Drosophila melanogaster: one gene and its partners. The protein of the gene in region 4 interacts with the protein of the main gene of each other region in a pairwise test. Each region holds a gene or a part of one and is shown on either strand. Other genes may lie near its edges. The genes, in order: CG34149, gdrd, eIF2D and Dus1.

The links.
Region 1: the proteins of Dus1 (region 4) and CG34149 interact in a two-hybrid assay, tested with the Drosophila melanogaster proteins (one large-scale study listed by BioGRID).
Region 2: the proteins of Dus1 (region 4) and gdrd interact in a two-hybrid assay, tested with the Drosophila melanogaster proteins (one large-scale study listed by BioGRID).
Region 3: the proteins of Dus1 (region 4) and eIF2D interact in a two-hybrid assay, tested with the Drosophila melanogaster proteins (one large-scale study listed by BioGRID).

The regions. Positions count from the first base shown.
Region 1 is NT_033777.3:22,375,996-22,383,844, forward strand, and holds CG34149 (uncharacterized protein), read left to right. Parts: upstream 1-4,132; 5' UTR 4,133-4,171; coding exon 4,172-4,206; intron 4,207-4,260; coding exon 4,261-5,143; 3' UTR 5,144-5,258; downstream 5,259-7,849. Other genes in the region: CG18596 (uncharacterized protein), read left to right, coding at 40-1,209, 1,266-1,915, 1,974-2,159, 2,222-2,785, 2,849-3,370, 3,439-3,609, 3,671-3,818; CG43342 (uncharacterized protein), read left to right, coding at 5,434-5,529, 5,590-6,036; Gpdh3 (Glycerol-3-phosphate dehydrogenase 3), read left to right, coding at 6,230-6,273, 6,335-6,509, 6,568-7,147, 7,210-7,363, 7,417-7,509, 7,564-7,849.
Region 2 is NT_037436.4:14,689,418-14,692,462, reverse strand, and holds gdrd (goddard), read right to left. Parts: upstream 1,117-3,045; 5' UTR 1,035-1,116; coding exon 693-1,034; 3' UTR 501-692; downstream 1-500.
Region 3 is NT_033777.3:29,146,870-29,155,470, forward strand, and holds eIF2D (eukaryotic translation initiation factor 2D), read right to left. Parts: upstream 4,926-8,601; 5' UTR 4,821-4,925; coding exon 4,421-4,820; intron 4,363-4,420; coding exon 3,071-4,362; 3' UTR 3,027-3,070; downstream 1-3,026. Other genes in the region: CG11882 (uncharacterized protein), read right to left, coding at 324-1,011, 1,082-1,185; Pglym78 (phosphoglyceromutase 78), read left to right, coding at 1,581-1,683, 2,140-2,637, 2,700-2,866; Slbp (Stem-loop binding protein), read right to left, coding at 5,379-6,053, 6,115-6,270; Rpn2 (regulatory particle non-ATPase 2), read left to right, coding at 6,862-7,804, 7,867-8,601.
Region 4 is NT_033779.5:266,290-275,591, forward strand, and holds the start of Dus1 (dihydrouridine synthase 1), read right to left. Parts: upstream 5,456-9,302; 5' UTR 5,340-5,455; intron 5,338-5,339; exon of another isoform or gene 5,026-5,337; coding exon of another isoform or gene 4,372-5,025; intron 4,318-4,371; coding exon of another isoform or gene 3,169-4,317; intron 3,101-3,168; coding exon of another isoform or gene 2,903-3,100; exon of another isoform or gene 2,799-2,902; intron 1,217-2,798; exon of another isoform or gene 400-1,216; coding exon of another isoform or gene 1-399. Other genes in the region: CG17075 (uncharacterized protein), read right to left, coding at 1-399; CG3345 (uncharacterized protein), read left to right, coding at 2,903-3,100, 3,169-4,317, 4,372-5,025; mbm (mushroom body miniature), read right to left, coding at 5,678-6,217, 6,266-7,345; CG11555 (uncharacterized protein), read left to right, coding at 7,697-8,362; CG17078 (uncharacterized protein), read right to left, coding at 8,658-8,962, 9,030-9,302.

The DNA of each region.
Region 1 (7,849 bases), on a different chromosome or scaffold from region 4:
AGTTTAGAGGGTTCTTCATCGCGAGAAAAAGGTACTACCATGTCATTGCCCACGACCAGAGCCACCACGGCCACGACCACTCACGCTGTGGTCCAGGCTGTGGAAACGTATATTCAGAACCAGAATTTGCTTGGCGAGATCGCTGAGCTGGACGACATGCTGTACGATTTGGTGTCCATGCACAAAGACAACGAGCTGGCCCTGAAGCGTGTGCTGCAGTGCATCCACAACCTGTTGCAGACGAACAGCAAGTATAACGTCCGCTTTGGCCCAAAAGTTTTTCACAAACTGGTCTCCGTGGTGATTGCCGACAGTCGTGAGGATTCGGCCAGCCGGCGTCAACTGGTGGCCAATTTACTGGTCTGCGTGCAGCTTCATATACGGAAGTTTCCGCGTATCGAAGCCAAGTTCGTGCTGCAGCAGCTCTGGTCGCTGAGTCAGAGCAATGAGCGGCAACCACATGCGGCCCAGATCCTGGTACACCTTTTCGATGATTTCGTCAACAACTTGGGAACGGAATGCGCCCAGGAACTGCTTGTGCTAACGCGGAATCTTCTACAGTCTGATGTGCGCGATGATCGACGCTCAGCGTATTTTCTTATGCACAAGCTGCAGGAGATCGACGAAGTGCTTGCCGCTCTCCAGTGCAGTGAGGTTCAGTGGAGCGCGTATGTGGGCATCATGGAGAACCTCGAGGAGCAGCAGTCCCATCTTGTGCTGCCCACTTTAAGCACCCTGCTGCCGCGCATGGGCCTGATGTCTAACAATTTGAGTGAGGATTGGCTGGATTGGCTAAGGATTCTGTGCATACGCCTCCTGGGCGACAACAACATCCTCGTGTTGCGCTGGACCCTGAAGTACTTCCTATCCCATTTTAGCCTAGAACAGATATCGCGTTTCAATCTTCTAACACAATTCCTTGCTGCTACCAATCGGACGCAATTGTACAATCCAGAGGTGCCCGATTGCCTCACTAAGCAGCAAATAACTGATTTTAGTGCACAATTCCCGGCAGAGATATTGCTGGAAGCGCTTGTCTGCGTTCCGTGGCATGCAGTTCCCCTGATCCACTGGCTTCAAGCATGGGAGCTAAAGCAGCTGCCGGTGGTTTCCAAGGAGCTGCTGTTTAAGTTGGGCGCTCGCGTTCGTTCCCTCCAAAATCCGGTTTTGCGTGGTGAAGCCATCAATTATGTGATTTTCTCCTTAAGTGTAAGTTTAACTTATATAGAAGTTTTAACAATTTTTTGACTTTAATCCCATTAAAGGCGACGATTGACAGCCTGTCATTGGGAGATTACCTCCTCTTCATGGAGTCTTTGTACAATACCATCGACCGGTATCAATCTCATTCACAACTAGCACAGAAAATAAGAAATTGCAGCAATTTAGAAAAACATATTGCTAGTTTCAACATTCGTTGCTGTGAACTTGTATCTCAAATGGACTATAAACACGATGTATTTGTTGCGTTCTTGGAGAAATTACGAACAGTTCCAAAATCCAAACATGGCTGGTGGCGACTTTTACCCATATTTCTGCATCGGGAACTGGATCATCCAGAACAGTATTTAGATTTCTATCGCTCTGTCTATGATTTAGATACATCTTTTCTTGAAAGTGGTGTGAGTCTAGAGCAGATGCAGCAGCACCTTCTTAATCGATTGGATTGCCAGACCAGAGAAGAGAAGTCCTTTGTGCTCGAGCACTCTGTGGATCTTTTCGTACAGATAAATCTTCCAACGTGGAGCAAGTTAGAAGTACTTAACCTAAATCCCCTGGAACTTTTGGATCGGGGTACTGAAGAAACATTTGCCACCTTGTCGAATATATTGTCCACGCATGATGAACAATTGGCTGACCAAAATGTATTGCCCGCCTTTATATCCCGTTTGGGAAAACTAAAGGTCAGGGAAACGTGAGTAATATATTCGCTATATTTTTGTAAGTCAAGTTATTAATTCATTGATTCCCAGACAAGCCATCCTAAAATATGCAGTGCAAAATCTTTCGTCAGAAGAGTATGAAAAGTGCGTAGTGGACGTTTTGGAGAAAAACACCTTTCTTTTGGGTACAATGGACTGTGAAGAATATATTAAGGCACCCACCTCGTTTGTTATAAAAAGAATGCTGCAGGGAGAAACCACTACTGGCGATGCACGGCAAGAGAATAAATATTTTTTTCGTGAAATTACTATATACAACGTTAATAATAACTCCGCAGCATTGAACGCGCATTTGAGCAAATCTCGGATACTGGAGCCATGGATCGTGTGCAATTTATTCAATATGCGAAGAACAGCACTGGTTTGGATATCAGCTTCATCTGTGACGATTTGCTTAGAATGAACAATGAGCTGTCCAGAAAAAAACCACGCTATTTTGCAAACTGCAAAGAGCACAGAATGAAAATGCGAATAGGCAAAGCTTTGCTCGACCTAAGCGACAGATGGAAGTGGTCGGACAACCTGTGGGAAGCCGTCTTGTGCCCTAGCGATCAGCCTAACATTAGCTTTATGTACGAGTACCTTGTCTCCAAAATGCTGCCAAGCATCGATCTATTGCTGGAGCAGTTAAAGCTACTGGCAACTCTAAAACCGAGCCAGCAAATTTCGCTTGTCTCTGTAGTCCACATATACTGCTTGACTCGCTGGGAAAGCATACAACATGAACAGCTTGTCGAAGTATTTGCCGTCCTGTTGCCTCTCACAATGGGAGCAAATTTTCAGACTCGTTTGCTGGCCCAATTGGTTTTGCATCGGATTTGTAGCGAGTGCGAGGATCGAAGGTAATGAAATTAGTATTATATACTACTTGTTGCCGAATTTTATTAATATTTTGATATTTTTAGCATTCAAATGCCAATAGCTGATGCATTGAAGAAATCCATCAAGGTTACATTGAGCGAAAAATTAACTGAGTTTCAGTGCGAAGCTCGACTTTTGTTACCAGAACTAGGCAAACAATGCCCGACATCCGTTTCGGATTGCATTCTGATGATGACGAATGCACCATTTGATGAAAACATCAGTTTTATTAGTTGTTCCTATGACTTTCGAATGAAACTAAAGCGCGCCCTTGAAACGTTTAAACGGAAACAATCGGTTTTGATACCTGAGCTTGCAACGTCCTTGGCTGCATTAAACGGAAATGTGCAGCGAAAAATGAATCCCGTCGGAGATATATATCCGGAGAGTGACTTTGTTGTTTCGAACAAAGCTAGAGATGACCACGAACTCATTGTGGTGGCCTCGCTCATAGACAAATTGCCAAATCTGGGCGGATTGGCGCGTACCTGTGAAGTTCTGGGCGTTAATACCCTAATATTGGGTTTAAAATCACAGGCGGAGAAAAGCGATTTTACAAACTTGAGGTATGCACGTCAAACATCGCGGTAGCCCTATTATATTGCTTTATATAATTATAATTATATTATTTTAGCATGACTGCTGAGAAAACTTTAAACATACTTGAAGTGAATCCAGAATCGCTTGCTGGATTTCTGCTGGAAAAGCAAATGGAGGGTTATAAAATCGTTGGCGCCGAGCAAACTGCACACAGCACAAACTTTGTTGACTTTAAGTTTCCCAAGAAAAGCATTCTTCTTTTGGGGTTCGTAATCAACATCTTGGGCGTATTTTTTGAAAACTTATTGTTCTGCATCCCTCCTCAGGCATGAAAAACATGGAATACCAGCGAACCTTATTGGATTCTTGGACTACGCCGTCGAAATTCCCCAGTATGGCTTAGTGCGCTCTCTAAATGTACATGTGGCTGGATCACTATTTATTTGGGAATATTGTAAGCAGCACTTAAATTAAATTCATAATTTGACCACCAACAAATGCCTTTAACAAATAAAGTAAATACCTAAAAATATTGTACAAATGTTACTATATAAATGTTTTGTGTTGTATATATCTTAAAAAAAATACACCCAAAATAAATTACCTATATAAACTTAATTGTACTAGCTATTAGTATTATTTCTATTTTTTTAAATGTGTTTGTTTGCCTTCGGTGAATTAATCGAAGTAAATATAATTCATTCTCTTAAAGTTTCGCGCCTTGTTATCGATAACCAGTATTTACCGATGACGCTTGCCTGAAACAGCTGATCCTATAATCACAACATCACAACAAACCCATTGTAAACAACTTCGAAAAGACGAAAATGAGCTTCTCGGAAAACACCTCCGATTCTGAATGGTAAGTCCTTGAGGCCGGAAACTCTCAAATTCTATACGAATGCTTCGCTTATAGGAAGACAGACAAAATGCTAAAGGCGCGGACTGCTAAGAAATCTTTAAAGCTGGACAAGGAGCACAGAACTCTGAAACCTAAATATAACCAGAAGTTCTGCGAAAAGTGGCTCAAGATTTTCGATCCATGGCTCCGACGGGCGGCCGAGGATCCTAACAAGCCATTCTGCCGCGCTTGCCAGTGCACCATGGACTGCAATCGATGCCACCTGGTGCGGCACGAGCGAACCACCAAGCACAAGCGCAATCTGGAGGCTCTGCTCACAAAGGGCGAAGGCGCGGCGGTCCAGGAGTTCCGGATTCGCCAGCAGCGTAGCAAGTACTATCACCAGCGTAAATTGGTAGTGATGGAGCCCTTGGCTGAGAACCACGAGTTGGAGCCGCCTTCCACTCCAGAGCCTATGCCCGTGATGGCCATTGCTGATCAAAGCCTCTGTTCTGCAGCCAGTGAGAAGGTGACAGTACCCAAACAGGAGTTCTTATCAGAGACAGAGGTCACAACAAAGATGACCGAACCCCCGTCAAGCCATGCCAATTGCAGTGACAGCTCCTCTTCTGCCTCTAAGCAGGAGGGCATAAAGTTACTAATGCAGATCCACCAGGACAAAAACGAACTCATGGAATCCTTCCGCGAGCTGATGGGAAGCCAGAGGACCCTAAGTCACACACCGCCGCCCAAGGAGAAGAATCATGTGGATCTGTTTTTCGAAAGCGTCAGTTCCAGCGTGAAAGCCCTCTCGCCAAAGTTGGTAGCGGAAGCCAAGATGCGAGTATCGCAGCTGATCTGTGAGCTCGAGCTTCGCGGCCTCAGTGAAACCAGCCAAACGGACGCACTGAATCCAAACCCTCAAGCTAATGAATCGCTCGCACTGCGCCCATCATGACAATCCCTTGTCCTTCAGCATGAATTTAGAGGCATACATTAATTTTAAATTTAAAAATAAATGTTATCGATTTTTATAAGATCAATGCAAATATACTTTATTTGTTAGATATACGAATCAAACTATTCAAAATAGGTGCGAGAAATGGTATCGGACTGTTTATCGATAGGCTAGAGGCTACTGCTACTGCCATCTCCAAAGCGCGGCTGTGTTTTCTTCCAATGTTTATTAAATTTGAAGCAGCTAATGCAATTTAAAGGCTTAAGTGACAAAATATTCATAACATAAGAATGTGGAACACTTCAAATGTGTATGATGAAACGACCTCTGAAAATGGCGACAACGAAGAGCAGAAAGCTTCATACATTAAAGAAGATCATATAGAGGTATAATTACTAAGTTGCCCTTAAATTTACAAATATTTAAACGAAATTATGCATTTGCAGACCGAGAGGAAAAGTTTGCTACTCATCAAACGGAACAACGTAGCCCTACAGAAAAGACAGCTACCCTACTCAAGGCCAACGCCGCAGAACCGCCAGGAACTTGTCGAGAGCATCGAACAAGACCGTAAAGTGCTGTCGGCGTACTTCAAAAGGTTGAGCTCCCAGCGAGATGAAGTCACTTCACCAAATGCAGCTCCACCGGCGGCTGATTCCCCTGTTCCTCAGAGAAACAGCTACGATCTTTTCTTTGAGAGCGCCTGCATCAGTGTCAAAGGCTTGCCACCCAAACTGGCGGCGGAAGCCAAGAGCCGCATCTCCCAGATAATCACCGAGTTCGAAATCCGCGCCATATCAGAAATGGAGGCCCAGCAGGAGCACAAAATGCGGGCCCAGAACAGAATGGATAATGCGTCCGGGGTTGTTTACGAGTTTCGTCCCTGCTCGTAAAGTAGGTTGGGTGTTTGCCTTTCAACTACCTTAACTCATCCTATACACTTCACATTTGGACGCCACCTAACTCTGGACTATCAAAATTCATAATAAAAATTTAAAGCATTCTACATCCAGTTAACACTTAGGCGGTCATTTGGTCGCGTTTCGGCCCTAAATTATTGTTGTTCGTTAATTTAAAGTTGGATCAATGGCCGGAAAGTTGAAAATATGCATCATTGGGGCTGAGGGCTGGTAAGTTCTTTCAATTACCAAGTCTAAAACACATTTAACTGCTTTCAAATGGCTTTTCTAGGGGCTCGGCCATTGCCGCCGTCGTGAGCAACAATGTCTTGGAGGGAGACTTCGACAGCCGGGTGCATTTATATGTCTACGATGAAATGATTCGGGACACTGCCCTATCGGAGATCATAAACACTCGTCACGAGAATGTCAAGTATCTGCCTGGGATCAAGCTGCCCAATAACCTGGTAAGGAAATTCTTGCAGTGTTTTGGTATCTGCATTATACAAAATATTTTTGTATTAGATCGCTGTAAATGATCTTTTGGAAGCTGCCCAGAACGCAGATATCTTGGTATTTTCCACCCCGCTGGAGTTCGTGCAATCCTACTGCAACATTCTGTCTGGTAATGTTAAGGAGTCGGCCTTTGCTGTTTCCATGACCAAAGGATTGTTGAGCGAGAATGGGGAGGGGATTGAGCTTGTTTCGCACGCCATTAGCGAGAGTCTGGGTATCCCGTGCTACTCTATGATGTCTGCACATAGTGCCATGGAGATGGCACAGGGAAAGCTGTGTGAGGTGACCATCGGTTGCAGCGATAATTCTCATTCCAAGCTGCTGATCTCTGCTATGCAAACCAATAACTGCAGAGTTATTTCTGTTAATGACGTTGACGGAGTAGAGCTGTGTGGAACGCTCACAGACGTCGTTGCCTTGGGAGCGGGTTTCATAGATGGTCTGCGTCTGGGTGAGAATGCACGGTTGGCAGCCATCCACTTGGGTGTCAAGGAAATTATGCGGTTCATTAAGACGTTCTTTCCTTCCTCCAAAATGTCCACATTCTATGAGAGCTGTGGCGTAACCAACGCGGTGGCTTCCAGCTTTGGTATGTACAAAGAAAAATGAATCAATTAATAAGTGTATAATATCAACTGCGCTAATTTAAAGTCGATAAAAACGTCACATTTGCAAAGAGCCTAGTAACATCAGGCCAAACCATTGAAGAAATAGAAGCAAACCTCCATAGTGGCCGCAAGCTTTTGGGTCCCATGGTGGCCAGTAATGTGAATGCATTTTTGGAGAATGGGCTTATGCAACACGAGTACGTATAAACTAGATTTTAAGACCCTAATAAACATACTTCTAAAACTATAGATTTCCGCTTTTCACGGCCATCCATCTTATATGCCAAAGTGAGGCTCCGCCGGAACTGATGATAGAGGCACTGAGAAACCACCCGGATCTAAGGTAAGAGATTTTAATGTTCAAATTACCCTTAACTCATCATTACTCCTTTTACAGCAGTTCATCCATTTCACATTTACTGAACCATGAAAGGGACGAGCTAAAAACGGACCAAGGCCTTCCCGAACTGAGGACTGCTTTAGATAAGATATTGACGGAGGCGGGGAACGAAAACATTAAGCAGCTCAAGGTTATGGACGATTGGACAGAAGTAAACGATTACGACGTCGAGGAGACGTACCATGAAAAAGTGGCATCACGAGATTCCTGTCTTGAGACCGAAATTATGCCAAGCCGTCTGAGCGTGCAAGCTGCACAGCTCTATAATGACATCCGGGATGGG
Region 2 (3,045 bases), on a different chromosome or scaffold from region 4:
TTAATGCCGCTGCAACGGCATTTTATGGCAAATTATGTTTGGCTTCATTTCCACTGATAAGTATCGGACTTCAGCTTTCTGTCGAAATTTATCGCATATAATACGTTTTGCCAATATCTCGAGCGGCAGACGACGAACTTGAAGAATGTCCTTTCTTATTTATTGCTTTTAACATATTTGTTTGGCTCCAAGGCAATTCGTCTTTCTATGTGAATGTGGCGAAAGGCAAATGCAAATTTCAGTCTCAAATTTTCCGACTTTGCAAAGTTTTCGACAAAACAAAAGGCCCCCTGACAATATGCAGCTGCTCGAAATTGCTTGGGGTAACATTTTTGAAGGGCGGTCAATGAAAAGTTTATTATGCGCCGAAAAGAAGTCCACAAAGTTTGTGGACCGAATGAAAGCAAGTTTGGCAATTGTGTGTGGAGGGCCACTAATAAATTGCAAATATCGTTGAAAATAGTTTAGATTATGGCGATAAGGGCAGTATACAATGTATTGCTTTTGCTCATTGCTCAGTTTATTATATGCGCTTAGTTTTCGAATCCTTGGCTTGTGTTAATGCATAATTTTTTAACAATTAACTCGGGTCTGTTTGTGATTTGTTAAATGGGCTTCAATAACAATAACAATAAATAAATACAATAAATTTATACATTTTTGAAAATGAGAAATATAAAAATGTTCTTATATCATTGGTTGGTGGTTTCGTTTTCTTGTTCGACGTTTTCAAATCGCATTGGATTATCGCCTCCAGCCAACTGGTCGGCGTTTTCGCCAACAGGTACGGATGGAATTCGAGCATGGAGCTTCCTCTTCATCTGGACCACGGCAGAGTTGGCCATGCTAATGCGATTAATGATTCGGTTCAGACGCTCCTGAATGTTCGAGAATACCTGCTCGGAGAAGCGAGCGTCCTCAGAGGTATCGAGAGGCCCCACTGCAGTTGCTTCGTCACTATTGTTTTGGCTACCTTCTGTATAGGGCTCGTAGCTTTCAAGGTCTTGGAATATATCAGATCCGTCGTCCGACATTTTGACAAAAAAAATATATTTCAGAAATTTCAATAGTTATTCAGGAGCTGTGAACTAGAACAGACTTAAGTGCAAACAGATCAAAGACAGAATTTATACTGACAACAAAATCGAGAGCAGCATGTTTGATATAGTAACTCTATACAATAAACAATAGTATTAATCCAAACTCCATAAATATGAGTAGATGGTCACAACGTTGAAACATTTTTAATTAAGCGACACATCAAACTATATTTTTTATTTAAAACCAACGTTTTAATTATCTTCAAAATTAAGAATAGACGGATTTAAAACCTCTTAAGAAATCGCAACCCACTTGGCATGTAATCATGTGTGAAATGTGTTCAGCAGGGTCATAAAATCAGAAATCAATTAAAGCAATTTAAGAGCGAGGAGAGCAAACGATACGGATATGGATGTCGAGAGTCGAAAGTTGCCAGGGCACAAGGCAAATAAATCTCTGAAACGACTCTGCCAAAAAGGACGCACTTTGGGTGGCAGTGAGGATAAAAGTTTCCCCACAGCTGAACGAGGCGAACGAAATCAAAGTCTATAACTTAACGACTGCAATGAGAATGATGCTGATGACGATGTCGACGATGTGAAACGCCCTCAAGGTCCACCCCATTCCGTCCACCCGTTCCACCCACAGCCCGCCACCATTCGAGGAAAATCCGTACGCAGAAAAAGAGAGACAAAAGCCGAAAAGGGAGGAAATGCAGCATTCATTCTCTCGCCATTTTCCCCTTAACCCTCCCCTTTTCCCATGGCTCTTTGCCATCATTCTTTCAGTGAGTTTTTCGCCTCCATGTGCTAAATATTTGCCAGCCATTTCTTTATTTTTCTCTGGCCTTTGTCGCCAAACTGGATTCCCATCTTGATACCCATCGCTCTGCCACATCGTAATAAAGCAATAAATCTGCTGAGGAACTGCTCCTCATAAATTCCGTTACGCATAAAAACACTTACAAATGACTTTTTGTTCAATGGAATAAATGGCATGGCACTACACACATACTAAGATGTATATATGGAGCTGTAGCTGCGAATGCATGTTCATGACTGCACCAAGTTAAATTCACACACTTGGCTTTCTATATCTTCCGGGATTCGCTGAATCCTCTATTGATAATGCCATTTGGCATTTGGCTTGTGGCAAGGCTTTGACTTTTGCGACGTCTTTCACTTTATGGGCTTTCTATTGAAAACTCGTTGCGCTGCTAAGTAGGCAACATTTTTCAGCTCGCTCTAGTTTGTTCGCTTGTATCTTCGGGCGTAATAAACTACGGGATAAATTAAGTTTTTGTAAATAAGTGTAGGAATCTGGTGAAAAAATGTTGTAAAGAAATCCTGTCACTGAAGTTAAATTACAAATTAAAAATAAAATGTACTCGGAATAAATAAATAGTTGATTAAGAAATATAAGAAAGCCATACGTTTAATATTTAATATTTACAATACCCAACTCATTATATGTTATAACAGTTAAAGCTCTGTTTTTTATATTTCACAGAATCATAACATAAAACTCGTTACGAGTTTTATCGACATTTTTTTACGCACATATTTCACATTAAATATTTAAAATAACAGCTCGCGATCAATCTAAATTAGTAGAGATGTACATATGAAAAAACCCTCTAAATCCCTACCCTTGTTTATGCCAAGTGGTCTCATGCTGTTGCCTAATCTGCTGTCCAAATCACTCTTGCAACATGTTGCACGACCAACTAATTGATGATATAATTGAATGTTCAGAGACCATTTCCCAGTTCGTTAGGCTCTGGCTCTCCACAAACCATATCCCATATCAGGAACAACATCTGTCAGACCCATCACAATAAATAACCATATAGTTATAGTTGAGTTTCCTGCATTAAAACGCCATCAAGCTGGAGATTAATGTGAAAAGGTCACGCCCAGCTCCTTGGGAGGTGAAAGCCATTCACTTCAGCGAGACATTGACATTTGCTACTGGCTTTTCCTTCCCATTTCGCCACATCCTTTG
Region 3 (8,601 bases), on a different chromosome or scaffold from region 4:
TAAGCCAACTTACTTTCTCTTCGGCCATACAAAACGTAAACAAATGCAACAGGTGGTTATCGATAAAGTTCGGTTCGGGCACAGCTGATGTTGGTCTATCGAAAGTGGTTGAAATTCAAATATTCCAAGCGAAAAAGAAAAAATTTATGATTTTAAGAGAAGAATATTTTATTTAATGTACATTACATTCAAAACCAAACTTAAATATGTTGCCTAATCACATTCGAAATATTCGCACCAACAGTCTTTTACAACAATTACAAAATACAATGATGACAATGCTAAGAAAGAAATTACAGATTAGCAAATTAATGGTATATTACTTATTTTTCCTTTTCCAGCAAGGCAATAATTTTGTTTAACTTTTCCGTCTGCTGGGCCTCGAAGTTGTCCAGTCTCTTAGACACTAACAGCGTCAGCTTCTCAAATCTCATGTCGATGTGCTCCTTGAGGATTGCAACATCGGTGGAAGGCGGTGCAGTCTCTTGGGTTTGGTCCTTCGCCTGCGGGGAATAGCCCTTCATCAGGCTCATGAACTGCTCGAACTTTTCGGCCTGCTCCTCCTTCTTCAAGGGACTCGTGCCACCCCTTTGCAGCAGCTCTTGGATTCGCTGCGCATCCATTGGCCTGGGCAACTGGGTGGTTATGCCGTTGGGATTCGGCGCCACCTGGAGCAGGGCTCCGTAAACGCAGATCTCGCTGGCCGAGGTGAGCATCTTCAGGTTTATGTCATTTATCCCGGATCGGTCGATTTCCATGTCATAGCGATAGGGTCGCACCGCAACCTCTGGGTCCTCATCGTCGACGCAAGTGCCGTAGATGGTCTCGCAGTACTCCTGCAAGGGTCCAATGAACAGCTCCACCTTGGGAGCGCTGCAAATCAGGGTGAGCGCGGCGATTTTGAAGCGGTTCGGGATCTGGAAGCGCAGCTCACAAGGCGGCGGCGGATCCGCCGACTGCATGGAAAACAGCACGGCGCGATTCTCGTCGATCACGTCGTCCAAGTCGGGCCTGCGGACAAAGGAGGTTTCAAAATTACTTGATAAAAACCAGTTTCGGGGCGTGGAATCCTTTGTCTCACTTCACAAAGACGTCTTCGTCGGACAAGCGGGTGGCCACCAGTTGGTCCAGCCCGTTGCCCGACAGCTGGGGCCAAGTGCAGCGCGCGGTGACCTTTTCGCACATGCTTTAAGTGACAAAAAGTTGGAATTTATGGGAGCAAAATTTAAAAACAGCCAAATTTAAAAACCAAAACACGAATATAGTGATGACAAACGCGAGCGATAACATCTGCGCGGGGGATGCCAACCTGTTGCACAGCGCAAACTAATTGGACATTTGAAGGTAGCTTGACGCGCTATTCCAATAAGACCATACTCCGGAGTCCAATCAGAGAAGGCACCGCATCTGCGCACTACGTTTTTCCAACAGAACGGCAATATCGCGGCCTGACAGCTGCGACCTTGGACGGCTCCCTTGTAGGTCAAACTTCAGCAGAATTCCCACATATTGCAGTCGCAGCAAGGCGGCAGCTTAAGAACGAGTACACAATTATCCGCAGAGTGATCAACGCAGCTAAAATGGGCGGCAAGTACAAGATCGTGATGGTGCGCCACGGCGAGTCCGAGTGGAACCAGAAGAATCAGTTCTGCGGCTGGTACGACGCCAACCTCAGCGAAAAGGGTGAGTGATTACATCAATTTGAAATTTAAACCTCATATGTGGGATTAAAAATCTGATGTACATCTAGTTTCCAATCGATGATCCTTTGCTTTGATCAGTTTCACAATAGTATTCCTTTTCATTTACCCAAATTAATCTTCATTGACCTAGTGCAACATTATCTCATTCAAACTTTTCTGTGATAAAAATAGGTCTCTACAAACAAAAGCTTTCCAGTGCAATTTTCAGAAGCATCAAAATTCTAGTTTGTTACACTTTAAAGTCAAAAATTTGCCATCTCATATGTTTCTAAAGTTCAGATTATGCTTATGAGCATAATTTGATAGGTTATCGCCTTTTTTTAACCCTAGTAATCAAATTAAATTAAACGCATGCCTTTCAATTAGATTAAATTGGCTTACGTTCGTTACCCAACACGGCGTATACTTAATGTTCGCTAAACATTTGCCCAAACAGGTCAGGAGGAGGCCCTAGCCGCCGGCAAGGCCGTCAAGGATGCCGGCCTGGAGTTCGATGTGGCCCACACCTCGGTGCTGACCCGCGCCCAGGTGACGCTGGCCAGCATCCTGAAGGCCAGTGGCCACAAGGAGATCCCCATCCAGAAGACTTGGCGCCTGAACGAGCGCCACTACGGTGGACTCACTGGCCTGAACAAGGCCGAGACCGCCGCCAAGTACGGCGAGGCCCAGGTGCAGATCTGGCGTCGCAGCTTCGACACCCCGCCACCACCGATGGAGCCGGGCCATCCGTACTACGAGAACATCGTCAAGGATCCCCGCTACGCCGAGGGTCCCAAGCCCGAGGAGTTCCCCCAGTTCGAGTCCCTCAAGCTGACCATCGAACGCACACTGCCCTACTGGAACGACGTCATCATTCCCCAGATGAAGGAGGGCAAGCGCATCCTGATCGCTGCCCACGGCAACAGCCTCCGTGGCATCGTCAAGCATTTAGACAGTGAGCATGGGAGACATAACATATATCATATCATCTTTTTACCATATCCTTGTCCAATCCAGACCTTTCTGAGGACGCCATCATGGCCCTAAATCTGCCCACGGGCATTCCGTTCGTCTACGAGCTGGACGAGAACTTCAAGCCGGTGGTGTCCATGCAGTTCCTCGGCGACGAGGAGACCGTGAAGAAGGCCATCGAGGCTGTGGCCGCCCAGGGCAAGGCCAAGTAAGCACGCAGGCCACACCTCATGAGAATCCACTCAAATACGGCACAAGTCAGAGCATTCTGATTACGCTTCTGTTCAAGATGTAGCCAATCCCATTCGTTGTTGTTGTTCGCGTAGCAGTAATTGGTTCATCCCCACTACAGTTAATAAATAATTTATTATTACACTCAAGAGGACAGGCGGAGGAGGCTTCATTTATTGTCCGGCTCACTTCTTCTTATTCTTCTTGCCGTCCTTGGCCAATTCCAGGCCCAGGATGCACTTGGGCGGCACCTTGTACGTTTCCGTGAGCAGCGTGTGCACAAATCGCACCTGGTTGCCCTGGATTTGCAGCTGCTCGTGCTTTTGGTGCGGCAGTTTCACCACACTGGTGCTGGCGGCGGCTCCCTGCTTGCACAGCTTGATGAACTCGGCCAGGATGATGCCGTACGCCTCGATGTTGCTGACCAGCGTCACCTTCTTGTTGCCCGATCGCGTGGCCAGGGACATCTGGATGAGGGGCTTCCCGCTCGTATCTTTGCCGCTGCACATCTGGTAGGAGTGCTCCATCTTGCTGGTGATGAGGGAGCACATCTCGCTTAGCGAAACCTCTCTGTTACCATACAGCTCGATCAGAGTGTCGTCGGGGCGCACCAGCTTGGTCAGCGGATGGAGGAGACCATGTTTGCTCACGTACTCCCGCACAATCTTCTTGATCTGACCCGCCGGGATTCCCTCGCCGCGCTTGTAATTCAGCTTGGTGAAGAAGGCCGCCGTAACATCGGTCACTATGTACATCTCCTTCAGCTCGGAGTGGAACAGGGGCGTCTCGGACGCCGCTCCATTAGCTTCGCTTGCCTTGACATCGGTTATAAAGTTCACCACTTCGGGGTGCTCCAGGTCCACAGATGTGATTTTATCCACTCCCTTGCTCTCCTCCCGCACCACAATGAATCCTTGGTCCACCATCTCGGCCAGAAAGTTGGAGAGCTTTTTGTAGCGCGTCTTCTTCAGGTCGATTTGCTCCGTGGCCTCCGTGACCACATAGAGTCTGTAGAAATTGCTCGTCAGCAGAGGCAGGGGCAGCTTCTTTCCATGGTTTTTCAAGGCGGAGAGGAAGGCATTCTTGAGTATAAGTTCTGGTGAGGCTTCCTCCACGGCTTCTTCGTCGGACTCGGGAGCTTCCTGGCTTTCCAAGGTCAGAGCAGCAGTTTCCGTTTCCAGTTCCTCGGTTTGGGCCACCGTAGCGAAGGTCACAGGAGCGGGAGTAGCTGGGCTGGCGGTCTTTCTCCTTTCCGTCTCAGACCCAAGAGCAGGGAAATCCTCGCCAGACAAGGCCTTTGTCTTGACCAGCGGGATTTGCTGCACCAGACTGGGCTCATGCGACCAGAGCTTGTCCCCAAAGAGGTGGAGCATCTTGATGGCCACACCGTGACCTCCGCACATGTACAGTTCATCGCTGGAGCGAGCCAACTGGCCCACGCCCACCGCAGATTTGTTGTTTGTGAGGTTTACGGCCACTGAAAAAGACAATGAGATCAATACTCGTTACCTGGGGAATCCCAAGCAGATACCCACTCAACTGTCCCTTTTTGAAGTGCCCGTACATGCTCAGTCCCACGCCCAGGGGCACCACTCCGGGCAGCATGAGATCCGCTCCGTTCGTCAGCTTGGGTAACACACCCTCGTGGGTGGTGAAATAGGGCAGGATGTCCGGAACGATCCACAGGGTGTACAGGGTGGGCACAAGTTGACCGCCGTCCAGCTCGAAGAACAAAGGCAACTTGTCCACGCAGTAGACCATGCTCTGAACACCGCCGTGCGTTAGGATCTTCACCTGGGTCACCGCCGCCTTCGCCGGCACCAGCTGATCCACGGACACATGGGGGAACGCCGCCTCCACGCGCTGCCGGAACTTCTTGCTATCGGATCCCTTGAGGGCAGCACTGCTCTTGGGTCTGTACGGCTTGAGAAACATCTGTGTTTGGTGGTGTGCACTTGAGGAGTTCGTGAAATGGTTTGGAGTGGCACATGCACAGTGAAAACAAACAACTGGCAAACGGGGGTGCTGCTTTAGCTATTTTCTCGCCAGTTTGTATATTTAAAAAAATATCAATGGGATTCGATATTCTAAAACCAAGTATAAGAAACATAAGAATAAGATGCAGAAAAAGAAATTAACATAAAATAAAGAAGTGAGTCCTGTCTTTTCTTTTCACAATAACTCTACCCTAAATCAAAATTAGTTAAGAGCAGACGTTATTACAAGGACAGCACGCGCAGTAAAAATGCCGGCGGTCCGGAAAATTTCGAATCACCAAGGACTTCCTCAGGTAGCAAACGACAGAAAACCCAGGATCTTGTAAGACGCCATTTTATTCAACAAAACATCTGCGTAACAATTCCCCGTACACGGCCTTGTGACTCGAAGATGCGTGTTTGATTCATAGTTTTAACTTTGTACTTGAAATAAAAATTAGTAGTTAAACCCCCGATATTTGAAAAACATAGCCCGGCCCGGTAACAAGATTCGATCCTAGTCAGAATCCGAGTCGGAATTACTGTCCTTGGCCGTGTCGCGCGCTTGTGTAGGTGGATCATAGATGTGGAGGCTTTTGCGCCAGATCTTCACGAGCCCATCGAAGGCGCGGCGGCTGTACTTTCCATACTTGTTCGGGGTGCGCGGATGATCGCGAGTCCGCTCGTCCTTTGGCACCATTTCCACATAGCGCTCGTAGGCGGCAGTATTCTTTCCGTAATCTATTTGCTTCTGCCTGCGACTTAGGATGGCGGGATCGGCTTCGGTGTAGGAGGATGACGATGAGGTGGAGGACGTGTAGCTGTTGTGGCGCACCCGTTTCTCCTCCTTGTGGGCGCGGAAGTTGCCAGACTTTTTTGAGTTCCTCGAATGGGGATTGTTGCCGCCTTTGGGCGCAGCTGCATCTCCGTTGGCCGAGGAGTTGCTGCTGTTTGGACTGTTGGAGCGACTGTTCTCGTTGCTGGGCGGCGTGAACGAGTGTCGGCGCTTGTAGGGCGTTTTTAGCTTCTCCTCCTTGACCAGGCGCTCGAACTTTACCTCGTTGACGCCATCCAGGAACTCAAATGCCATCTCCCGGCCCTCGCCATCTTTGGACTCCAGATTACCGTCGGCTGTCTCCTTTTTGGCCAAGGAACCGCAGCTGGCAGCGCTGCTATTCAAGGAACTGGAGGCCTGCACGTGCAAACAAGAGAATTAATTGTGTTCCCGATCGTAGCAGCCAACCTTCACTTACCTCGTCACTGTGGCCAAACTCCGCGCGGACCTCCTGGGCCCAGCTCTGCATGGTGGGCTTCACATCGATCGAAATGGAGGATGCTGAGGAATTCAGGCTGCCGGAGCCTTTCTGCGGTGTGTTCTCCACGGACATGTGCTGATCCTCGCAGAGCATGTTGTGCAATTATCTTTCGTTTGTTTACTGTGCTGTGTATGATGCGGTCCGCTGCTCCAGGATGTTGTCGCGGCGGTGTTTTGCGTTTTCTGCGCAAACCTTCGCGCGTTTTTTGTTGTAGATGCGATGCTCAGTGTGCCCAGAAGTGGAGGTGGTAAGAAGGCGGCAAAAAGGTACCACAACACAGAACAACCTGGTCACTCACAACTAATTTCAAACTATGCTCCAAATGTATTACATTTCATTTCAATTTTGTTAAAATTTGATGTCCAATACATATTTAAACATACAGAAAATTAACAGCGATTTTTAAATTGTCTGAGGGAGGCTCAAACAATATCGATGCATCGGTACACATCGATAGCAAGACATCGAGCAACCAACCATTACCAACACTGTCTGCTTACCGAGTGATTTAGCATTTTTTCGGCACAAAAGAAAACTGAAAATTAAAACGGTGCAATTGTTGGTTAGTACGCAAAAGAACGATTTGTTTTCATAGCAAACGTAAAGTTTTCGAGCCCAAGTTGAACATACGTCACTTTAAAATCCGTAGAACATATTTTTGACTGGAAACAACGCAGCTGGAAAATGAGTCTTACGTCCGCCGCGGGGATAATTTCCCTACTCGATGAGCCAATGCCGGATCTTAAGGTGTTCGCCCTCAAAAAGCTGGACAACATCGTGGATGAGTTCTGGCCGGAGATCTCGGAGTCCATCGAGAAGATCGAGATGCTGCACGAGGATCGCAGCTTCCCCGAAAACAAGCTAGCTGGCATGGTGGCCTCCAAGGTGTTCTATCACCTGGGCTCCTTCGAGGACGCTCTGACGTACGCCCTGGGCGCTGGTGATCTGTTCGACGTGAATGCCCGCAATGAGTACACGGAGACCATCATTGCCAAGTGCATCGACTTCTACATTGCCCAGCGGGTGGAGTTCATCGAGAACCCTAAGGAGGCGAGTGTCGTGGACGAGCGGCTGGAGGGCATTGTGAACAGGATGATTCAGCGCTGTCTGGACGACAACCAGTTCCGCCAGGCTCTGGGCATCGCTCTGGAGACCCGTCGCATGGACACCTTCAAGGACGCTATCATGAAGTCGGACGATGTGCGTGGCATGCTGGCCTACGCCTACAACGTGACCATGTCCCTCATCCAGAACCGTGGCTTCCGCAATGAGGTGCTGCGCTGTCTGGTCAGTCTGTACCGTGATCTGGGTGTGCCGGACTACGTGAATATGTGTCAGTGCCTCATCTTCCTGGAGGACCCCTTCGCCGTAGCCGAGATGCTGGACAACCTCACACGGTCCTCGGTGGAGACAAACAATCTGATGGCCTATCAGATTGCCTTTGATTTGTACGAGTCGGCCACGCAAGAGTTTCTGGGCAATGTGCTGCAGCACCTCAAAAACACCGCTCCTATCCCAACCGCCCTCCCCAGCACATTTAAGCCCCAGGGTACCACCTCCGAGGATGGTGCCAAGTCGGAGGGAGACAAGTCCAAGTCTGACGAGGATATCACAGAGGAGACGCCAGGTAAACCCGGTTTTCTAATCCAGTCCCTTAAAATACTTATAAATCGCATTTTATTCACCTAGCTGATGATAAAGTAGAGCGCACAATCGATTCCCTTAACGAGGTTGAAAAGTTGCATCAGAAGAACATTGAAAAGCTCATATCGATCCTCTCCGGCGAGGTTTCCATCGACCTACAGCTCCAATTCCTCATCCGCAGCAACCACGCCGATTTGCAGGTCCTTCGAGGCACAAAGGAAGCGGTCCGCGTGTCTATCTGCCACACAGCCACTGTTATTGCCAACGCCTTCATGCACAGCGGCACCACCTCCGACCAATTCCTGCGCGACAACCTCGACTGGCTGGCCAGGGCCACGAATTGGGCCAAGCTGACGGCAACCGCTTCGCTTGGAGTAATTCATCGGGGTCACGAGAAGGATTCCCTGGCTCTCATGCAGAGCTATCTGCCAAAGGAGGCCGGTCCAAGTTCTGGTTACTCTGAGGGTGGTGCCCTTTATGCTTTGGGCTTGATCCATGCGAATCACGGAGCTAACATTATAGACTACCTGCTGCAACAGCTGAAGGATGCCCAAAACGAGAATGTGCGTCATGGCGGCTGCCTGGGACTAGGTCTCGCTGGCATGGGCACCCATCGCCAGGATCTGTATGAGCAGCTGAAGTTTAATTTGTATCAGGATGACGCGGTTACCGGAGAGGCGGCGGGCATTGCCATGGGTATGGTCATGCTGGGCTCCAAGAACGCCCAGGCCATCGAGGACATGGTGTCGTATGCGCAGGAGACGCAGCACGAGAAGATCC
Region 4 (9,302 bases):
AATGAGCACCCAGTAGCTAGCCACTCCAAACAGGAGGAGGACGAGCCAACCAAAAATTTGGAGGGGATGCAGTGGCAGCTGTAATCCGTGTAGTCGTCTACCCTTCCGGTGCTGGACATCAGCGATGTTACTCTGGTAGCTCACCAGCTGCGAGAGCCGGCACAAGTGCAGGGGTTTTTTATTTGTCTCAGCCTGTTCACCCGGAATTATATTTTCTGGGGAATCTTCACTTCCCAGGGAATGGGGCTTCCGTACTGGAGTCACTACTCCCTTTGCGGGACTTTCGCTGTGCGACTCCGTCAAGCCGGCAGTGCTTATGGTTATGATGTGATCCGTCTCCGACCTGACGCCGTAGGCTCCTTTGGGTCCCGACTTTAGTCCAGCTGCTGTTGTGGACATTGTGTTATTGGGCCTGGAGATAATGGCTCTGATGATGATGATGATGTGTGAATGATGAAAGGACCTGCTTGACAGCTGTACATTACATTTAATGCTAGACCACGCCCTCGACGAATGATGCAATCCAGAAATGGGAAGAATTCATATAATTCCCAACCGATTTTGCAGCATGTTTTAATGGTTTGATTGCGGATTACAAAAGTGTATTAGGCATCCTTAAACAGTTTTGAAGTTGTAGCTTTAGAGTCCAATTAAATGTTGTTGCCTTTTTATTGTCTTCTTTTAAATTTGCACTACTTCACTTTGCCTGCCATTTAATATTGCATCCTTCGATTGGCTTATTTTTACGGACGAAGCTTTTTATAAATAATCTTCTCCACAACAGTTTTTTATGTTGATTTTGTTCTCTCCGTCCGTCACACACATACACACAATTTTATAGTTATATATTTTCATTTGTTGTTGCGAAGTACAAATGGCGCAGTTATAGGTTCGTACGTATATTTATTTTCGTTTTTCGCTTAAGTCCACTTTGTTGTTGTCGTCCCTGAGAGGGGGTGGTTACTCTGGCAGCGGGCGCAGAAAAACAGGATGTTCGCCACCCCCCTTTTTGCGGAATTCCTCTCTATGGTTTTCCTTCTCGTTTTGCTATTTGTTTGTCTCCCACACATACACAGAGACAGGAAAGCGCAGGGACGCAGGGACGCATAGCCGTCCCGAGGTAAAATAACAGTAGAACTGGCGAAGGCATTCGCGCTTACCGTTACTTGAGCGCACGAAAACGAACAACCGACTCCTTCGACCGACGCGACCAAACGAAACAACTCCGCACAGAGTAACCAACTTGGAAGCTCGTATCGTTGATTTAAAACGAACGGTGCTGCAGCACTCAGAAAAATAACGACATTAAGTGCAAAACTGATAGTGGAAACTGTAGTGAAACGTACTTCTTTATATATAATGCTGAATTCCATAAATTCGTATAAGTTTTATATAATATATTACATTTACATTTTCAAGTAGAATTTTTTTCAGTGCTCCCTTATGTTCGACCAGGTTTGACGACCATTTCGCATTGCTAAAGCAACGGAGTTGCTTTTTTCTGTTGTCAAACAGAAACAGATGGGTTTAAAAAACAGTGAACTATGTAAGCTAGTGTTCTAAGCTCAATTTCTCTCCCGTGGTTCGAAGTCGCTCTCAAACACCGAACCGAAAGCTTCGTCTGATTGAAAACAAAAAGCCTACCAGTTGAACGACGACGCTTTTCAATCTATAGTGGCAAGCAACCAGAGGAGGGTGAAAGGGAGAGTTGAGGACAGCTGTGTGCGGTTTTGCCGGTATTGTAAGTCATAGGAAAATTATTAGCGGGAGAGGATTTTCATTGGCCCACCAAGGGGGTTTTAAGAAAAAGGGCACCCACACTCAATTTACTTAAAATTCTATATCAGAATTTACGTTACAAGTCAAAGGCCTGAATTGATATGTGGCCAAGACATATTGTTAATAACTGTCTGCTTAGTTGCATTCAACGAATGTGGTAAACAGCCTGCCACTTATTATATTATCATTGTGTGTACCACATGTCTATAAACGTTGTCTCAATAAAAGTTAAAGCACTACTTTTGATTCCCAAAACTAACTAGCCATTTAGCCGAATGACTCACGCAGCCATCCCTAGGGACCCATATCACAGGAGGAAGTAACTATTTTGAAACGCTAAATGGAAATAGGAACACAGACGACCGCTAGCGATTGGCACGCACCTTTCATTTTCCAGCATAAGTTTGCCTGTTTTCGGATGCCACCATCATTTTTTATTTATTCCATCGGCAGCGGGGTCGGAAAGTAAGAGGGGTGTCCTAGGTGTTAGATGAAATGGAAAGTACACTCGAGAGAATATTTGGAGCACGTGCTGCAGCAAGTACATTTCAGCACTTGATGTGATTTTATTTACATGGAAGACGGCTAGTGAGAGTGGGTGTTCTTTTCCAAGGAAAGCCCTACGCAGACATGTTGGCGCCGGACCGAACGATTGGTAAATATTTATGCCCGAGATGCCCGCATCTAGAATCATCCACGGACGCCAAACTGGGTCAGCGGTCGGAAAAAGCGGGTGGAACATAAGCCCGGATAGAGACAGCGAAATATTGAGGAGGATAGTCAACCGAGGATTTATGTAAGCCGAACTAACGCCCTGGAATCTGCTGGAGCCAGGGTAATGACAGCTTCGATCCCGATTCGGCCTCTTAGGATGGGACCACAGATTCATGCAGATAGCTATAAAACGGTTGTTGAGACTGCTTAAGAATATATATATTTTATATTGCAAACTATTGACTAAAGTCAATATACAATCGGCAGGGAAAAAGTATAGAATATTGTTAAAGTAGGCGGGGCTACTACATTTTCATAAGGCACTGTTCGAAATTAGTTTTCTTGGAACGCTCAGAGAGTAAATGTTAAGCACAAATAATTTAGGCTACTGTAAGTTTAGAGCGACAAGATGATCGATATTTTGTCGCTGCCGCGGCGAAATAAGGTGTCCGGAAACCCGGCCCTGCTAAAGATGATCTCCTACAAGACTGGACTACCCATCAACAGTCTACCCGGATGGGAGCTGATCCCTCTTAATTGCAAGCTGCCAATGCTCAAATGTCCCGGCAATCAGGTCATATTCTCCAAGAACAAGATCGGACAGGACGTAAGTGCTACCAGTAGAAAATCAGCTAGAACCTTACTTTATCATCATCATTCATACATATCCACCAGTTCAAGAGCGGTAAACAGGAGTTTGAGTGTTCCGTTACCGAACACATCCCGGAGTACAATCCGCTACACGACTCCAACCTAAAGACGTTCTACTCCAATGAGCGTAATCTGAAGCGGTTGAGGGAAAACGGTGAGATAACGCAGGACAACGATGTAATATGCAATCTGAAGGACTTCAATCAGCATCGCCAGGAGCTGCACAAATCGCAGTTGTACTACATTTTGCAGGCATACAAGCGGCGCGAGTCGGAGCAATATGATCGAATGCTGATCGCCAACGCGGAGTCCATCACAAAAAAGGATCACCAGAATCTCGCAGCCCGTCACCAGTGCACTGAGGAGGTTCTTGCCAGAAAGAAACTACAGGAGCAGGAACGCCACGAAAGAAAGGTCCATCTGCTGAATATCACATATGAGAAGTTTAAGCGCTTAGAGAACCTGGCCACCATGCAGAATATGTTGCTGGAGCACCGCAAGATGCTGACAAACATGCGTGTAGCTGCCCACATAAGCATGTGCCAGGATTTGATGAGAAAGCTATTGATCAAACAGAAGAAGCTCTTCCAGTTCAAAAAGGATCGGTTCAACAAAAACATGCGAATCCTGAGGAAACAACGGCTGGTAAAGAACACTGAGCACCAGATTCAGTCGTGGAGGAAGCGACTTGATGAGCGAATTGCTAATCAGCGTAGGATCGAATACCTCCTGCAGGAGGTGGAAAAAGAGCGAGAGGCGTTTATAGACAGGCACAAGGCTCATTACAGAGAAAAGTGGCAACGGATTCAGGACGAGATTAAGGAAAGAGCTCAAAAGGCCATCACTGCTCGTCAGCCCAAAAGAAAGCGCCGCAAGAAGAAGAAGTCGACACTTCAGGAACGCAAGCCATCATTCTGCGATGAGTATCAGGCCACCTTTGAGGGATTGTTAGACAGTGATCTTTGTTACGCCTTGAATGCAGCCATTGCCATGGAGGGTCAGACCGCTCTCAGCTTCGCACCAGACGACCCCATCTATAAGGCGGCACAATATATACTGGACTACATAATTTCTGGTTTAAACGACGATCTCAGCGAGGATGAGTGTGCCTTGCAGGTGCTGATCTCGCGCATTAAGGATTTTGTCTGCGATGCAAAGAAATATGTGCACTACGTAAGTGTTAATAGCAGTCCCTCTTGACATACCACTAATTCATTCCGCCTGCAGAAAGCTTATCAGATCATTGGATTCGCCAGAGACCACAAAGCCATGGAAGTGCCTCCGTCGATGGCCAAACAGCCGAAAAACCACTCGCGCGCCTCCCATGTATCATTTAGCGGTGTAGCCAGCACCATTGGCGTGGGCAGCTACGAGATTCATCCGTTCGTGGACGTCCGCCCGTGCAGCGAACGTCGGGCCACTCCGGCGGGATCATTAGCCTCTCTGGTTGTCAGCCAGATCGGCGAACAGGTAATACAGGACAAGGTGCGCCTGCCGCATCTAAATCGCAACCAGATCGTGTTCATAGAGCACTACCTGGTGAAGTTTAAGCGGGATCTATTGGTGGGTCTGGACAAGCTGGTATTTGCAGCGATTCAGTGCCACTTTGAAAACCGTATGATGGAGGTACGAGAGGAGCTCCTTCTGCTTGACAGGAACTATTTGTTCGAGCAGATTGCCAGGGGTATCCTCAGCTATGCGGTTAATCCGCTCAACTATCAGTCGGTGCTTAAGCTGGCCGTGAGCGTCCAGTCGTGTGAAATCATCTGGGAGCTGCAGCAGACGATGCTCAAGCCAGGCATCGATCCCCGGGGCCAGAATCACCCAGTGTCCTGCGGCACCGAGCAGGAACGCGAGACCCTGGCTCTCTGCATACCCTAGGATCCTGTCAAGCAGACAGGGCAAGGAAAATTGATCTTAAAGCAGGATGCCTTAGCTCTGGCGGGAAGTAGCCCTAAAAATTACTTGTATATTTCGTTTCCGAGGCACTTACATACTTCAGAGTCCAGGAATATTCATTTTCAATATGATGTCCTAAATTTATGTACTATGTTTTCTTTTATCGTTTAAAATGCTTCCTTATAAATAAGTTGAGTATAACTTTAAAAATCAGACACCTGGATCCTTTAGTTAAAAACTCAAAGCTCTTGAGATTTAATCGTAGAAAACCAATAAATTTAGGTAAATACACTTACCCAAAAGTTTTTTGCAAAGTTTTTTCACTGAGTTTCATACGTTTTTCCTAGTAAACACTATTAATTTGATTTTTTATTCAAAAGCGTGGAAGCAACAGCTGGCAAAACACAAAACCAGGGCTGCGTCGGCTGATACATTTCGATAAATAGGTCTGCCCTGGTTATCGATATTATTCCCCGGTATGTATTGTACAAAAATTAATTCAACTTCATTCTCGTTTTAAACAACAGAGGCGTAATTCCTAAATTCCGTAAATATTAAAATGAAAGAACTAAATCCATTGGTATTGAAAATGTATTTATCTTTCACGTTCCTTTACAACTAACTCACGCTATAACTATTTAGAAAAATTAAACGGAGCTCTATAAGAATACATCATGGAGTTAAAAGGGGCGCCCGGGGCGCCTAGAAGGGGAAATGGAAACACTTGAGGAGGTAGACTGGCTGCGGCCGATACGGAGGCTTTGGTGCCTCGTTTCCGCTTCTGTTTGGACACAGGAGCTGGGTGAGGCTCTTCGCTGGACTCCGAGTCATCGCTCTCGCTGCTGTCATCTTCATCTTCGTCGTCATCTTCCTCGTCATCTTCTTCGTCATGATCTTTCGGCTCCACCTTCATCCTTTTCTGTGAAGACTTCTTTATCTTTTTTATTGACGCCTTTTTGTCCTTTTTGGGTTTTGCTGAAACTGGAGCTGTGACTGTGCCAGCAGGAAATCCAAATCCTTGCTCGCAATGAAAGGCAGTCATTTGCTGCATGGCAAACTCCACAAACGACTGGATGGCAATATTTAGATTGGGCGGGTTTGGACAGTTTTTGAGACCATGATAACTACCGGAGCAATTACGACATATCATCTGACACTGGAAGGAGGTGTGGCCCTGGAAGAGATTTTTTTAAATTGGGTAACATTCTTTTAAAATATTTACCTTCTTGTCGCATATGCCACACACATCCACGGTTTTACCCTTGTTTTTTTGCTTTCTGGCCTTCTTGTCGTCTTCAGGTTCGGTGCTTTCCTCCTCATCGGTAATGGTAAACTGGCGCTCCTGAGAGCCCATGCAGACAACATCCTCCTCGGTGTTCTTTTCCATCTTTTTACTCTTTGCCGGCGGATGACTCTGTTCATCATCGGTGTCGCTGTCCGAAGTTGAGGAGTCGGAGGACGAAACTGGTTTTACAGCCTTTGGTTTCGGAGTTGATGCTACAGGTGTTTTGATGGCCTTCGCTTTTGGGGACGGCACCACCACTGCCTTAGTGTTGACTACCATTTCCCCTGGTTCGGGTTCAGACTCCTCTCCCGAAGTAGATGACGACCTAGAGGAGTTAACCTTCTTCTTTTTAGGAGATTTGGGCTCCGCTTTGACAAATTGCTTTATTTTTGACTTGTGCTCCATTTCTTTCTCCTTCTTGATATTGATTAGCGGCACAGTAGGTTCTTCTGGCGTAACAGCCACATCAGGTGGTGCAACAGATACAGGTGGTGGTGGCGTCAAGTCCGCAGCGAAAGTAACAGGTGGCAGGCTCTCCTGTCTGAGAGAGGAGGGAGCAGGCGAGGATCGAGGCAGAGGTGGGTCTTCGGTAAAGTCCCCCACATTATCGAAGTACAGCATGTTACTTTGGCCAGGACTAACATGCTGATCCTTAGGTTGCCACGAGTTGTTACGGCCACCACGCCTATTGGAATCTCTGCCGCGGTTCCCTCGCCTGCCACCCCAACCACCACCTCCTCCGCCACCGCCTCTATTTCTTCGGCCCCCTCTCTTGTTTGGCTGATGATTATCCAGCTCCTGTTGGGGATCTCTGAACTTGTTAAACGCGTTTCCATTCTGCCCACCTTCCGATCCAGCGTCTGGCCAGTTTCCATTGGCGGCGCGATTTTGGCTGTGGCTGCCTCTTCCCCCGCCTCCACTGCTGCGCCTCTGCTGATTGTTGCGGCCGTAATTCGAAAACGGTTTTCTTTCCTCTCCTGAAAGGTTCCAGCCGGATTGTCCTCCACTGTTGTGCATTATGGAATTGTTAATATTTATAAAACCGCCTAGTTGCGGCGCACGTGTTGAGCCGATTGGGGTTATCGATAAGATCCGATTGTTGGTGGGACTGCCGAAGTGGCTTCTTTCAAGCCAAAACTGCTATTCATTATATGTATATTAAGTTTGAATACCTTATATATAATATAATATATATATATAATACTGTGACAATATGTGACATAATACATGTAATGGACTAAAATGTGAAGTGACCAATGGAAGGTTTTTATAAGATTTAACATATATAGCTAGATTCGATAGTTTCTCAAACTGGCACCTCAGATGGTCAGATGGACGATATTCAGTTTAACCACAAATAACAACGCTATGAATTCTACCAATCCGAAGAAAACAGAAGATAATGATCGCCATGAACGTCAATTGCAGAGCCGCACCAAGGACTGGGGCAAAACCAAGTTCAAGCCAAAGAAGTATGTCCAACCGAAACCAGCGCTCGTTCCACAAGCTACTGCGACGCCCTGGCAGCATGTGAAGAACGACATAATTACGGATTCTTCGGACCGGGGACACCAGGATGTGGACAGCGAGGACGCAAGGCAGTTCATGCAGCAGCGTCAGAAGAACCACCGTCGAAATGTCATAGAAGCCAACCGGTCGCAGGATACTACATGGGAGCCCTTCAACGATGAGAAGCCCTCCACGGAAAGAAAACAACAGCTCTCCACGGACGTTGAGAACTTCACTTTTAAGGAGCGGAACTTTTTCCGAAAGCAACTCACTTTGGGTTTCAATTTAACGAAAAAGAATGCAACACTTAAATCTGCCCTAAAGGACTTGAAATATAGACAGCTGACAAAGGACAAGTTCGAATTAGAACGTTCGAATCATACACGTCGAAATGTGAAATCATCAAATGCGAAAGAAGCAAAGGGTAGCCATCCCTTTCAGAAAATGCGAGATAATGCACATCCTTATCGAAAGAAGGGACCAAATAGGAGAAATCCGTTTCAGAAAGGGCCACATAATGAATAAGTTTAGCTTATTTTCCCTTAGGTGACTTCACAACCCCAACTGGCAAAACATGAAGTTTCAATTAAAAAATAAATAAAAGATTCTTTGTCGGGTGACAAATCAGAAATGTATACACAACATTACTACACACTTTATGCAAATCTTAAAAATAGTGGTACAAATACATGTGGAATAGGTCGGCGAAAATAAATAAACTAAACAGAGTTCGGCTCCTCCTCCGTTGGGAGGAGCAAGAGGAGATTGAAGTGGCGCTCGCTGCGCCATGGTTCCAGCCAAAAATCGTCCAAATGAAATCTCAGCCATGTACATTGGCAAGCTTGGCGATGAGGTGGTTAAACTTGCCGTTGGTGGTCACAGACTTTTTGGCCGATCGCACTTGTTCCGGCGAGTGCTGCAGAAAGTAAACGACGATAAATTCGAGTGTTTGATTGGCTTCCTTAGGGTACATCATGTTAAAGGTATAGTAGTAGCAGATTAACTGGGCCAGAATGTCCGGCAGGTCTTCGTCTTTGGCGGCGAATGTGGCCATTATCTGGCCTTCAATGTAGACCTTCGCCTCCATTTGCGATTCCACGCCGTCGGCCGTTGTTATGGGTGAATCTGTGGGAAGATAAATATTTTAAAAGTATTTAAACACTTTTAGTGATATTAATTTTTGTGTACTTACTGACTAGAGCCACCCAGGGGGCGTTTGTGGGATTCGTGCTTTGCAGTGATTCCTTGCTAAGGGAACTGTTCTCGAGGTGCTTGAAAATGTAGTCGGGATCCTCATTAAAATAGTACGCTATGCCACGCAGGAAATTAGCGTTGGTCTCGTCCAAAGAGCTGATCTTCTTGTTCTTTGAACTCTTAAAGAACCTGAAAAAGCGATCCTTTTCGGTAGCCAAGCGCTTCTCTAGAGCCCGGGGATCGATGGACATAAGCAGCTCAAAGTGCTGGT